2 linked regions of the Caenorhabditis elegans genome follow. Each later gene encodes a partner of the first gene's protein in a complex. Each region holds a gene or a part of one and is shown on either strand. Other genes may lie near its edges. The genes, in order: let-711 and ccf-1.

Region 1 (4,997 bases):
TTATGAAGTAAATTTTTTAAAAATCCAACTTTTCTGAATTGGTGCCTGTTTCAATTCGGTGACAAAATTTTCAACAGAAGACAACAGCGATACTCCGTAAATCTCCATTCGCCTGAGCAGAGCCTCTCTTCCAGAATCAAGCAATGCATCCTTCACAGGTTGAGTGAACTTTGTATCACCGAGCCGGGCAGTTGTAATCGTATCAGCCGCCTGAACATCCATGTCAATTGTCCCACCACTTCCAGCTGGTAATAGTTTAGTATTCGAGTAGAGAAGGAAGGCCAGTGCTTGAACAATTTCAGTGTTGTCCGGGTTGGAACACTGTAATTTTTTTGTTTTTGGAAATTTAAGGGTTTAAAAATAATAAATTATTCTCACCGATATCAGATATTGTACAAGTTTGATTGGATCGGTAGTCGAACTGATGATAACTTCTTTCACTTCTTTCTCCAGAAATGTCTGTACTATTTCTATCAAAGTTTGTGTTGTGAAGTTGCCACGTGCAATTTGATTGTATATTTCAGCACCTTCCGGAGAGACGCCTTCAAAATTATTTGTAATGTAAAAAAAATTGAATTTAAAAAAACGGTACAGTACCCCACGTATCAGATGTATATTCACAGTGACCAAGGAACAAAGGCTGAAGATAGTGACGAAGACGCCGGCTCTTGGCGAGCTTGCTGATAAACGGAAGGACCACCAGAGGATCGAATAAACCGGCTAGCTGCAAAAAAGTATCAAATAATTAATTTGAAAAAAGAATCAAAATTCAATTTTTAATTTAGCATTTTATTTATTTAGAAAATTGAGAATAATCTTACATGCAAGACTAATTGTTGGGTCTTAATGATAATTTTGAAAATTATTCTCAATTTTTCATGATATTTCAAATTTTGCAACGAAAAAAATCAAATGGCTGATTATGCCACGCCCACTTTTTTCAAGTTTTCCAATAAAATAAAATGTCACTTCTTGGTTTTTCATTTGTAATTTCAAAAAAGACGTCACATTAGAAATATTTAAAAAAAAAACAAGAAAACCCAGTTAAATATGCCGAAAAACAGGAAACTCTTCAAAAAGTGGGCGCGTCCTAATAAATCATTTGAATTTTATTTTTGCAAAATTAAAAAATAATTTAAAAGTAATCTTTTATTTTTAACAATTTTTTTCTGAAGAAAAACTGCTTTATCACCAGTAATATGGCAGGAGAAAAGATCGACAAGTAGCAGAGAAACTGTCAAAGAAAAGCGTCGTTTGAATAAATGTGTAATAGTTATATGACGCCAATATAACACCATTCATCTACTTTTAAAGGGATTCATCGTAAATTAGAAAAGGCTTGATAAGAGATAAGATCAAGAACAAGACCAAATAAACTGTATTGTCTGGAAAATCTGGGCGCTAGTCTACAGTAACCTAGTCTTGGCCTAAATTAATATAAATAAATATATGAATTAAATGATAAAGGATTAGTCTCTGGCCAGTGGACTTCTAACAATTGACCAGAAGGCCTAGAGATTTGAAGAAAGAGAGAAAAATGTGATATTGTGTATATGTGTGTGTGCCTTCTCAAGAGAGTTCTCATCCCGTGAACTTTCTTTATATATCTGTGTCTCTCTTAATCTCGTGCTCTCTTTCAATGTTCCCGTAAGCTAACAGAGGACCGTCCGTTCCTAAAGTCCATCTCCTCTTAGTCTTTCTTTCTTTTTCTCTCTGTCTGTGTGTGACCACGACGATCAAATGTTAATGTTACAGCACTTTTCGCATTCTGCGTCTTGTCGTTATTGTCCGGCACGGGCGAGAAGTGATTATTTGTATTTTCACTCGAAGAATCATACGTTGGGAAAAAGAAAAAATAGGAGAGAGTGCAAAATTGGGAAGAATTAAGGATCGAAAAAATTACTTGAAACTAAATATTTAGATTCAAGATTTTTATATCACTTTGAAAACCGTCTATGAATGGAAATTAGGTAAATACACTTTTTGAAAAATAAAAATAAATTAAATATGGTTTAAAAATTTTTTTCTAACTTGAACAGAAAATTATAAAAATTATAGAAAGTTTTTGAAAGGCTAAAGTATTTTTGGAACCTAGATGCTTATAAATTTACTTTTGTCGAGTCGAATTTTAACGTTTATCTTGGGTTGAATAAAGTTTCAACTTCCCAGAAAATGGAGTTTATATTATTTTCAAGGGGATAGCTTTAGTAGGAAATTTTGAAAATTTAAAAATAAAAACTCACTTTCTTGCACAAATGGGTCAATGTCTTGCTGGCAACCATATCATCCATGGTCTTCGTGTATGCATAAATCAAATCACAGAGAGCCGAAGTGAGACGTTGAGCTCCAAGAATCTCTATTCCGCTTCGATTAATTTGTGTAACTGTCGAATAGGAGAGTATCTAGAAACGAAATATTTTTGAATAAACACTATGTAAAGAAAGCTTCAAAACTCCAAAAAAAAAGCGCTTACAGTGTGAAAAAGACTAAGGGCAGCGTCTTCTTCAAGAAACTTTTTCGCCGGTGCTTCGATTTGACAGAAATTGAATGCAGAGAGAATGATATTGGCTGCATGATTTGGCAATGATGGTGATGAACGACCACAAATGACTACGAGACGCTGAAAAATAGCTTTTTCCTCCCAAAATTTTAGTTTTCATTCGATTATCCTACCTGAATCATGAACGAGTGAGGTTTCACACGATGAATACTGCTATGAGCAAGAAGATTGTCGATATAAGCACAAGAGCAACTATTCAACACGAATCCCATCGGCATTTTCGACAAAAGCGTGATGGTGCCTGCAAATTTTTCAAAGATTTCAACAACATTGTGAAATTTATAAAACAGCTTCAATAAATAATTTCCCTTCATTAAAAAAAATCATAAATCGTTTCTTGAAGAACAAATTACATATTTTTATATTAGCTTAAAAAATACTCACCTTTTTTGGAGATAGGTCTCTCCAAATTCTCTCGATTCCGAATCATATGATTTTCCTCCACACGAAAAACGGGGGCCAACCCTGAAGTTGAATGCATTTTCAACAACGAATGGGGCGAAAAATGAGGAAAAAACGAATTAAAAAGTTTGAAAACTTAAAACTCGCGCTAATTTTTGTGAAGCGCATTTTTTAAAGATCAAATAAAACTATGTGAAGAAACAGTTAAAAATATTGAAAGATTGGCGCCGTGCCAAGATCCGTTCCGTTTTAATTCTAGTTTGTAAACGACACTCCGAAATTCCGAGGCGCGTGTTGTTTAGTGTACAGCAGAATGGAGGATCGACAGCTGCAGCTGTGAGAAAATGAGCACCGATCCATGAAATGTGTCGAAAGTTATAAAAAAAATGTGCACCATAAATTTTATAACTTTATAGCAGTTGACCAAATCACAATCATACAAAAAACATGCGCATGTACTTCGAAAATGTTGAAAAATATCCGTTTTTAAGAAATTGTAATTTTTCCTGTGAACGTTTTATTATATTTCAATTTTGCTTCTTGGTTACCGTATTTTTGTGGCCACATTCTCAAAATTATTCATCTGGGAATATAATATTTGGATGACATATGCTCTGTTTTGAGTACTCCATTTTTTTTAAATTAAAACATATTTGGGCGTGTCGAGACAGGGTACTGTGAATCGGCAAAATTTCGTATCTGTGTAATAGTTTAACTTTGAATTGTGGATTATCTGAAATACTGTCACATTTGAATGCCTCCCCTGACAACTAATTCCCGTTCGATAAAAAATAAAGTACAATCCCATAAATCGTTCATCAGATGTCACCACCCTGTCAAACTTCTCGCTGTTTCAATTTCTAAGGCAATCCGTACGCACGGATTTTCCTCTTTTCTCTCTCTTGTTGCTTACAAAAGAAAAGAAAAGAAAAGATAAAAATCGTGGTTGTAGGGAAAACGATGGGTGAAGAAGGAGGCGGTGTTGATGGTTCTGGACATGGAACATAAACGATCTCATGTCTGACGCTCTTCGTCTATTCATACTATTTTCGGATGACAAAGCTAAAAACCCGTTCCGCACCAGTTCTCTGCGTCTCTAAAACATCCAGATCTTCTATTCTTTTCTCCAGAATCGCAAGAAAAAGAAGAAGCTGAACCTCAAATCTCAGTTCTTCTTCGATTTCAAAATTCCAGTGATGTGGCTCCTGATAGCTCTTCTGCCCTCTGTGGCTCTAGCGCAGAACACCTTTCAAAACACTATTTTTGACCTACCAGCTCAGCTAGGTGGTGAGCCAGTTGGTGTCGCTGCTCAAGCTCAGGGAGCCCCACTTTTTGTGCAAACCGCTGATCAGAAGCCACCAGCAGTTGCCGCGCCACAGCTTCCAAATGCTGTTCCAGTAGCACCACAAGCTGCTGTCACACCAGCTCCATTCACCTTCCCAACTCTTCCAACAGTTGCTCCATTCACTCTTCCAAGCCATCCAACATTGGCTCCATTTACCCTTCCAACTCATGCTCCATTCACATTCCCAACTCATCCACCATTGGTCTTCCCACCACCAAGTACTCCAGCTCCATTTGTTCCACCAAGGTTTGTGATTGAAATGACATTCGTAAGCGAGTTGCGCATAAGAAATGGAAAATTGGAAATTGTTCAGTTTGATCTTTTACCGATCAACAAAATAGTTTTTACTATTATTTCAAATAAAAAAACTTCATTTCCAAAAGCGAGATTTCCCATTCTAGGCTATTATTGTACTATGAGTGGAAATTAGTTTCAGGTTTCACAACTCATAATATACTTGTTAGTTCATTTCAATTTTACTTGTTAGTTCATTTCACTTGTTAGTTCATTTATACTTGTTTGTTCATTTCAACATTTAAAATGCCCAGTTTTTAGCGTTATCTTCAAAATATTCAAAACATCTGGTTTCTGTAGAAAAGCAGTACAAACCAGTATGCTACCTGAAAACGAACAGAAACATCTACTGTATTTCTAATTATAATTATAACTATAGTTGTGCACACCTTTTTT
Region 2 (4,053 bases), 5.0 Mb from region 1:
TCGAAAAAAGAGAATAAAATGAATAAAAACGAAACTTTGTTAGAGGGCGGAGACACACCGCAATGCCGCGGCACGCAGTTTTGCAACTTCACCGCACAGTTTTATTTTACGAGTTTTTAGCATTTTTTCCAGCAAAATTTGATTATTTGCCAGATTTCCTGATAAAATTAACGCGAAATTGTAGAAAAGCAGTTAAAATACAACCGTGCGGCAGTGTTGCGAATTCTAAGGGTTTATTTCGAGTAATAAATCTGAAAAACCTCTTGCTGGAGAAGCTTGGCGGCCTTTTCAGGCTTCAAATCCTCATGGATTTGATCCAAATCCTTTCCGGGACGTTTACGTGTCTTGTTCGAAATCGTGTGCTTCCTCTGTCCACCGCTCGGCATTTTTTGCTGAAATACTACTTTTGTTAAGCTTTGAATCTAGACAAAACAGCTGAAAAAGATAATTTCAGGCTCAAAAACCCTTATTTTAGTTGAAAATTTAAAGTTTCCGCGAGTAGATTTCGAAAATTTTTATTTTTTTGGGCATAGGGGAGGGAAAATGAAAATAAAAAGATACACGGGGCGCCCGATCTCGCCCAGCTTCTACTGCTGCTGAAAATTACAAATAAAAAAGATCGAACTTTCAGAGTAATGATCACCTATAAACAACTAAGCGTATAGTCATCAAGTATAGGGAGATATAATAACAAAGACAAATTATAGGGCGCGTGAAAACACAAAAAACTTGGGTGAGAGATGGGGAAGGGCACGAAACAGACAGCTAATTTACAATAACAGTGTAGACGGTTTTTGGTGGAAAAAGGAAGAAAAAAATAAAAGAAATAGACACATGAAAAATGACGGGAAAGAGATCTGTTCAGGCTTGTTGTGGAACTCCGATTAGGCCTTGTGGTGTCTCATCGCCTAGTCGAGAAGTTGATCCGGAGCTATGGAACAGCGAAAGCGAAGATCCAAGACCAAACATATGTCCACAGATCAATGGAGCAATCTGGTTCCAGTTGTCTCCGAAAAACTGCTTTTTGATCTTGAAAAACGTGGCGGCGGTCAGCAGTGCGTCGGATCCAGCTTGATGGCGAACTCCTTGTCGTTTCACGTCCAGCTGATCGGCGACCTCTTGAAGTCCTCCTTTCAGCTTTGCAGACGCGCAATTTGGAGTTCGGAGCAGGATTTTGATGTCGAAGCTGGTTGGGAAGAGAGTTTTGTGGCACATGAAGAACGTTGACTCTTCCTTAGGCAGATCTCCAAGTGTGATGCTTTTCAACAAATATCCAAAGTCGTAGCCGGAAGAGAACGTGAGCCATGTGATCCGTGGATCAGTGATGAGGCCTGACGTCGTCAAAAGTTCTCCGAATACTGCTGTCGGTATTCCATTGTTCTGGAAGAAAGAAATTATTATTAAAATATTGGAAAATCAATATTAAAAAAACCTGCAGCAATGTGAAGTCTATTCCGGCTTGCCGGAGCATTTCGACACTCTCATGCGAGAACATGTCTTCAGCGAAGGAGAAATTGAAATTGAACTGCCAAACATCGCCAGTCGGTGGTAGCTCTCCTTTGTCATTGACCATTGCAAAGCCCACTTGTATTAATTTCAGCATATTCACATTACAGAACACTTGCTGATAATTGAAATCTTCCTTGCTTCGAAATGTGCCCAACGGTGTCGCCACAACTCCGGGAAATTCTGTGTCCATTGCCACGTAGGGATAATCCTGAAAAAAAACCGATTTTTTAAAAATATTCAAACGATCGGCTGTACCTCGACGAATCCTCGAATCCTCGCGAATTCCTCCTCCACGTTTGACATATATACGTTGTGAATCTTGACTTCTGGTGCTCCACTTGCTCCACCTGCTCCACCTGCTCCACCACTGCTACTAGAAGCCATTTTTATGATATCTGGAACTAGAATTTTCGTTTTAGAGTGAACGCTTTTATTTTCGATTTTTTTAAACGAATTTATGGGACAGAAATCGAAAATAGCTTATAAAATAAATAAAATAATTTTTCCGCAAACTTTTAAAGCAGAAAAACGGGAGAAAAAGTCAGTTTGCAAAAGTTTTGAAGCGCAAAAGAAGTTCTTGAACGATCGATTTTGGATCGGCATTAAAGGCGCATGGAGTTTCCCAGCGGTGTGGGTCTCGCAGCGAACGGGAGAGAACTGCAAACTGGCTAGCTGCCAAGTGAGTTTGTTTTACGTGAAACTGTCGAGAAAACATCGTTTTAGTGAATTAAAATGTGTTTTTAATGAATTTTTCACTTATTTTCTTGATTTTTACCCTAAAAACATGAATTTTGTGCGTTAAAATGATGCAAATTCGAGTAAAATACGTATAGAATGCCTATTTTACTCATTTTACAAGATAATTCTTCAAAACACGAATTTAATTACTTTTTTGCAGGTAATAATGCTGAAGATCGCCGTCGCCCTTTGCCTTGTCGCTTCCGCTCTTTGTAAGTTGGAAAAATTAATAAATTCCCACACAAATTATTCAAATGTGTGGCTTGTATAAAAATAAGGCTCGATTTTTCGAATTTTAAGCGTAGATTGTTAACATTTAATACAAATAAAACAATAAATATTCCAGGCGCCAAGTGCGAGTCGCCAAAGTACTCGGCCTCGTCATTCTCCACTACCGACGGATTCTTCCACTACAAAACCACCTTCATCACCGAGTTCACACTTCAATGCAGCAACAACCCGAAGAATATCCAATACACTGCTGAAGTAAACGGTCGCCTTATCCCAGTCTCGATTTCCGACGAGACCGCCAAGTTCCAAGTCTCATGGACTCTTGAGCACAAGGACGCCGGAGCTCAAACCTTTAATATTAACATTTTCGACGAGGAGGGAGCCGCTCAATACGCCAAGAACCCTGTCACCAAGCCACTCTTCACCGTTCAACAAAGCCATGGGGTGAGAATTGCATCATTTTCACATAATTATCTTTAAAAATCATTTTTTGCAGGGTCTCGCCACGAAGTCTCCAATCTCTTCCGAGACTGTCGCCGTCATCATCGTCGTCATTGGCCTTTACTACGCCATTCGTCAAAAGACCGAACTTGTCCACTAAATATCATTGTTTTTATCCCCAAATTACTGGTCAACGCACGTTTGCGTGCTGGGTTTTTGTTCTTTTTGTTTTTATTTATATATACAAAATGTAATTTATTGATTTTTGCCCCTTTTTCCACCCCATTCGTGTATTTATAAGTTCAGTAGCCCCCAAATAGCCATAAATTGAAATTTAATTGCTAGACTGACGTAAAAAAAAGTTTAAAGAGTTGAGAGTGTAAATCCCCGGGAAACTTACTTTAGATAATTTTAAGACCCCCTTTAGGCCAAAATTTTCATTCAGGCAAAATGCTTTTGGCTCGATCCATAATCCGATGCTCGCGGAGCATCTGTTGTGCTCAATTCCAGACCCCATCAAGCTCACGATTCCTGCACACAAGTCGACAACTCCACGAGAAAGAGCCCACTCCGAAGAAGCCAGACGATCAAAAATGGAAAATGTTCAGAATGACAATGTCTGAGGAGCAAAAACTCGCAAAAACGGCGAAAATCGAGCAAATGAAGGCGGAAGAAGCGCCGAAAACGTTGTTCGCAAAAGTGAAATATTATTTTAAAAGATATTGGTATATCGCTGTGCCGGCTCACGCGGCATCGTGTACAGCATGGTTTATCGCATTGTATTTGGTGGTTAAAAGTGGAGTTGATGTGATTTCATTGCTCGAATGGCTTCATATGCCGGATGCTATCGTTGAAAAGGTCAAAAATACGCCCGAAACCGCCGGAGTTGTGGTGGTTTCGCTGATTTTGTACAAGGTTCGGAGGATTTTCAGATGTTTTTTCGAAAACTTTAATTAAATAACAATTTGTTTGGAAAAAACACAGATTTTCTCGGAAGAAACCCAATTTTTTTGTATAAAAAGCACGATTTTTTAGACAAAAACCATGTTTTGTAAAGAAATCAATTTTATTGAAAAAACTAATTTTTTAAAGAAAAAAGGAACAAAAAGGGAAGCCCTGGTTATTACACAGACG

What was found.
Region 2: let-711 (region 1) and ccf-1 share a complex: the UniProt entries of both Caenorhabditis elegans proteins name them as parts of the CCR4-NOT complex.

Annotation. Positions count from the first base shown.
Region 1 is NC_003281.10:6,944,809-6,949,805, reverse strand, and holds the start of let-711 (CCR4-NOT transcription complex subunit let-711), read right to left. Parts: upstream 3,089-4,997; 5' UTR 3,042-3,088; coding exon 2,945-3,041; intron 2,802-2,944; coding exon 2,674-2,801; intron 2,621-2,673; coding exon 2,474-2,620; intron 2,403-2,473; coding exon 2,244-2,402; intron 725-2,243; coding exon 598-724; intron 543-597; coding exon 379-542; intron 322-378; coding exon 30-321; intron 1-29. Other genes in the region: abu-13 (Activated in Blocked Unfolded protein response), read left to right, coding at 4,159-4,553. UniProt on the Caenorhabditis elegans protein: Scaffolding component of the CCR4-NOT complex which is one of the major cellular mRNA deadenylases and is linked to various cellular processes including bulk mRNA degradation, miRNA-mediated repression, translational repression during translational initiation and general transcription regulation.
Region 2 is NC_003281.10:11,918,328-11,922,380, forward strand, and holds ccf-1 (CCR4-NOT transcription complex subunit 7), read right to left. Parts: upstream 1,911-4,053; 5' UTR 1,894-1,910; coding exon 1,765-1,893; intron 1,718-1,764; coding exon 1,433-1,717; intron 1,381-1,432; coding exon 862-1,380; 3' UTR 501-861; downstream 1-500. Other genes in the region: znf-593 (Zinc finger protein 593 homolog), read right to left, coding at 261-386; trap-4 (Translocon-associated protein subunit delta), read left to right, coding at 2,414-2,459, 2,594-2,922, 2,975-3,079; Y56A3A.22 (DUF1279 domain-containing protein), read left to right, coding at 3,370-3,834. UniProt on the Caenorhabditis elegans protein: Catalytic component of the CCR4-NOT complex which is one of the major cellular mRNA deadenylases and is linked to various cellular processes including bulk mRNA degradation, miRNA-mediated repression, translational repression during translational initiation and general transcription regulation.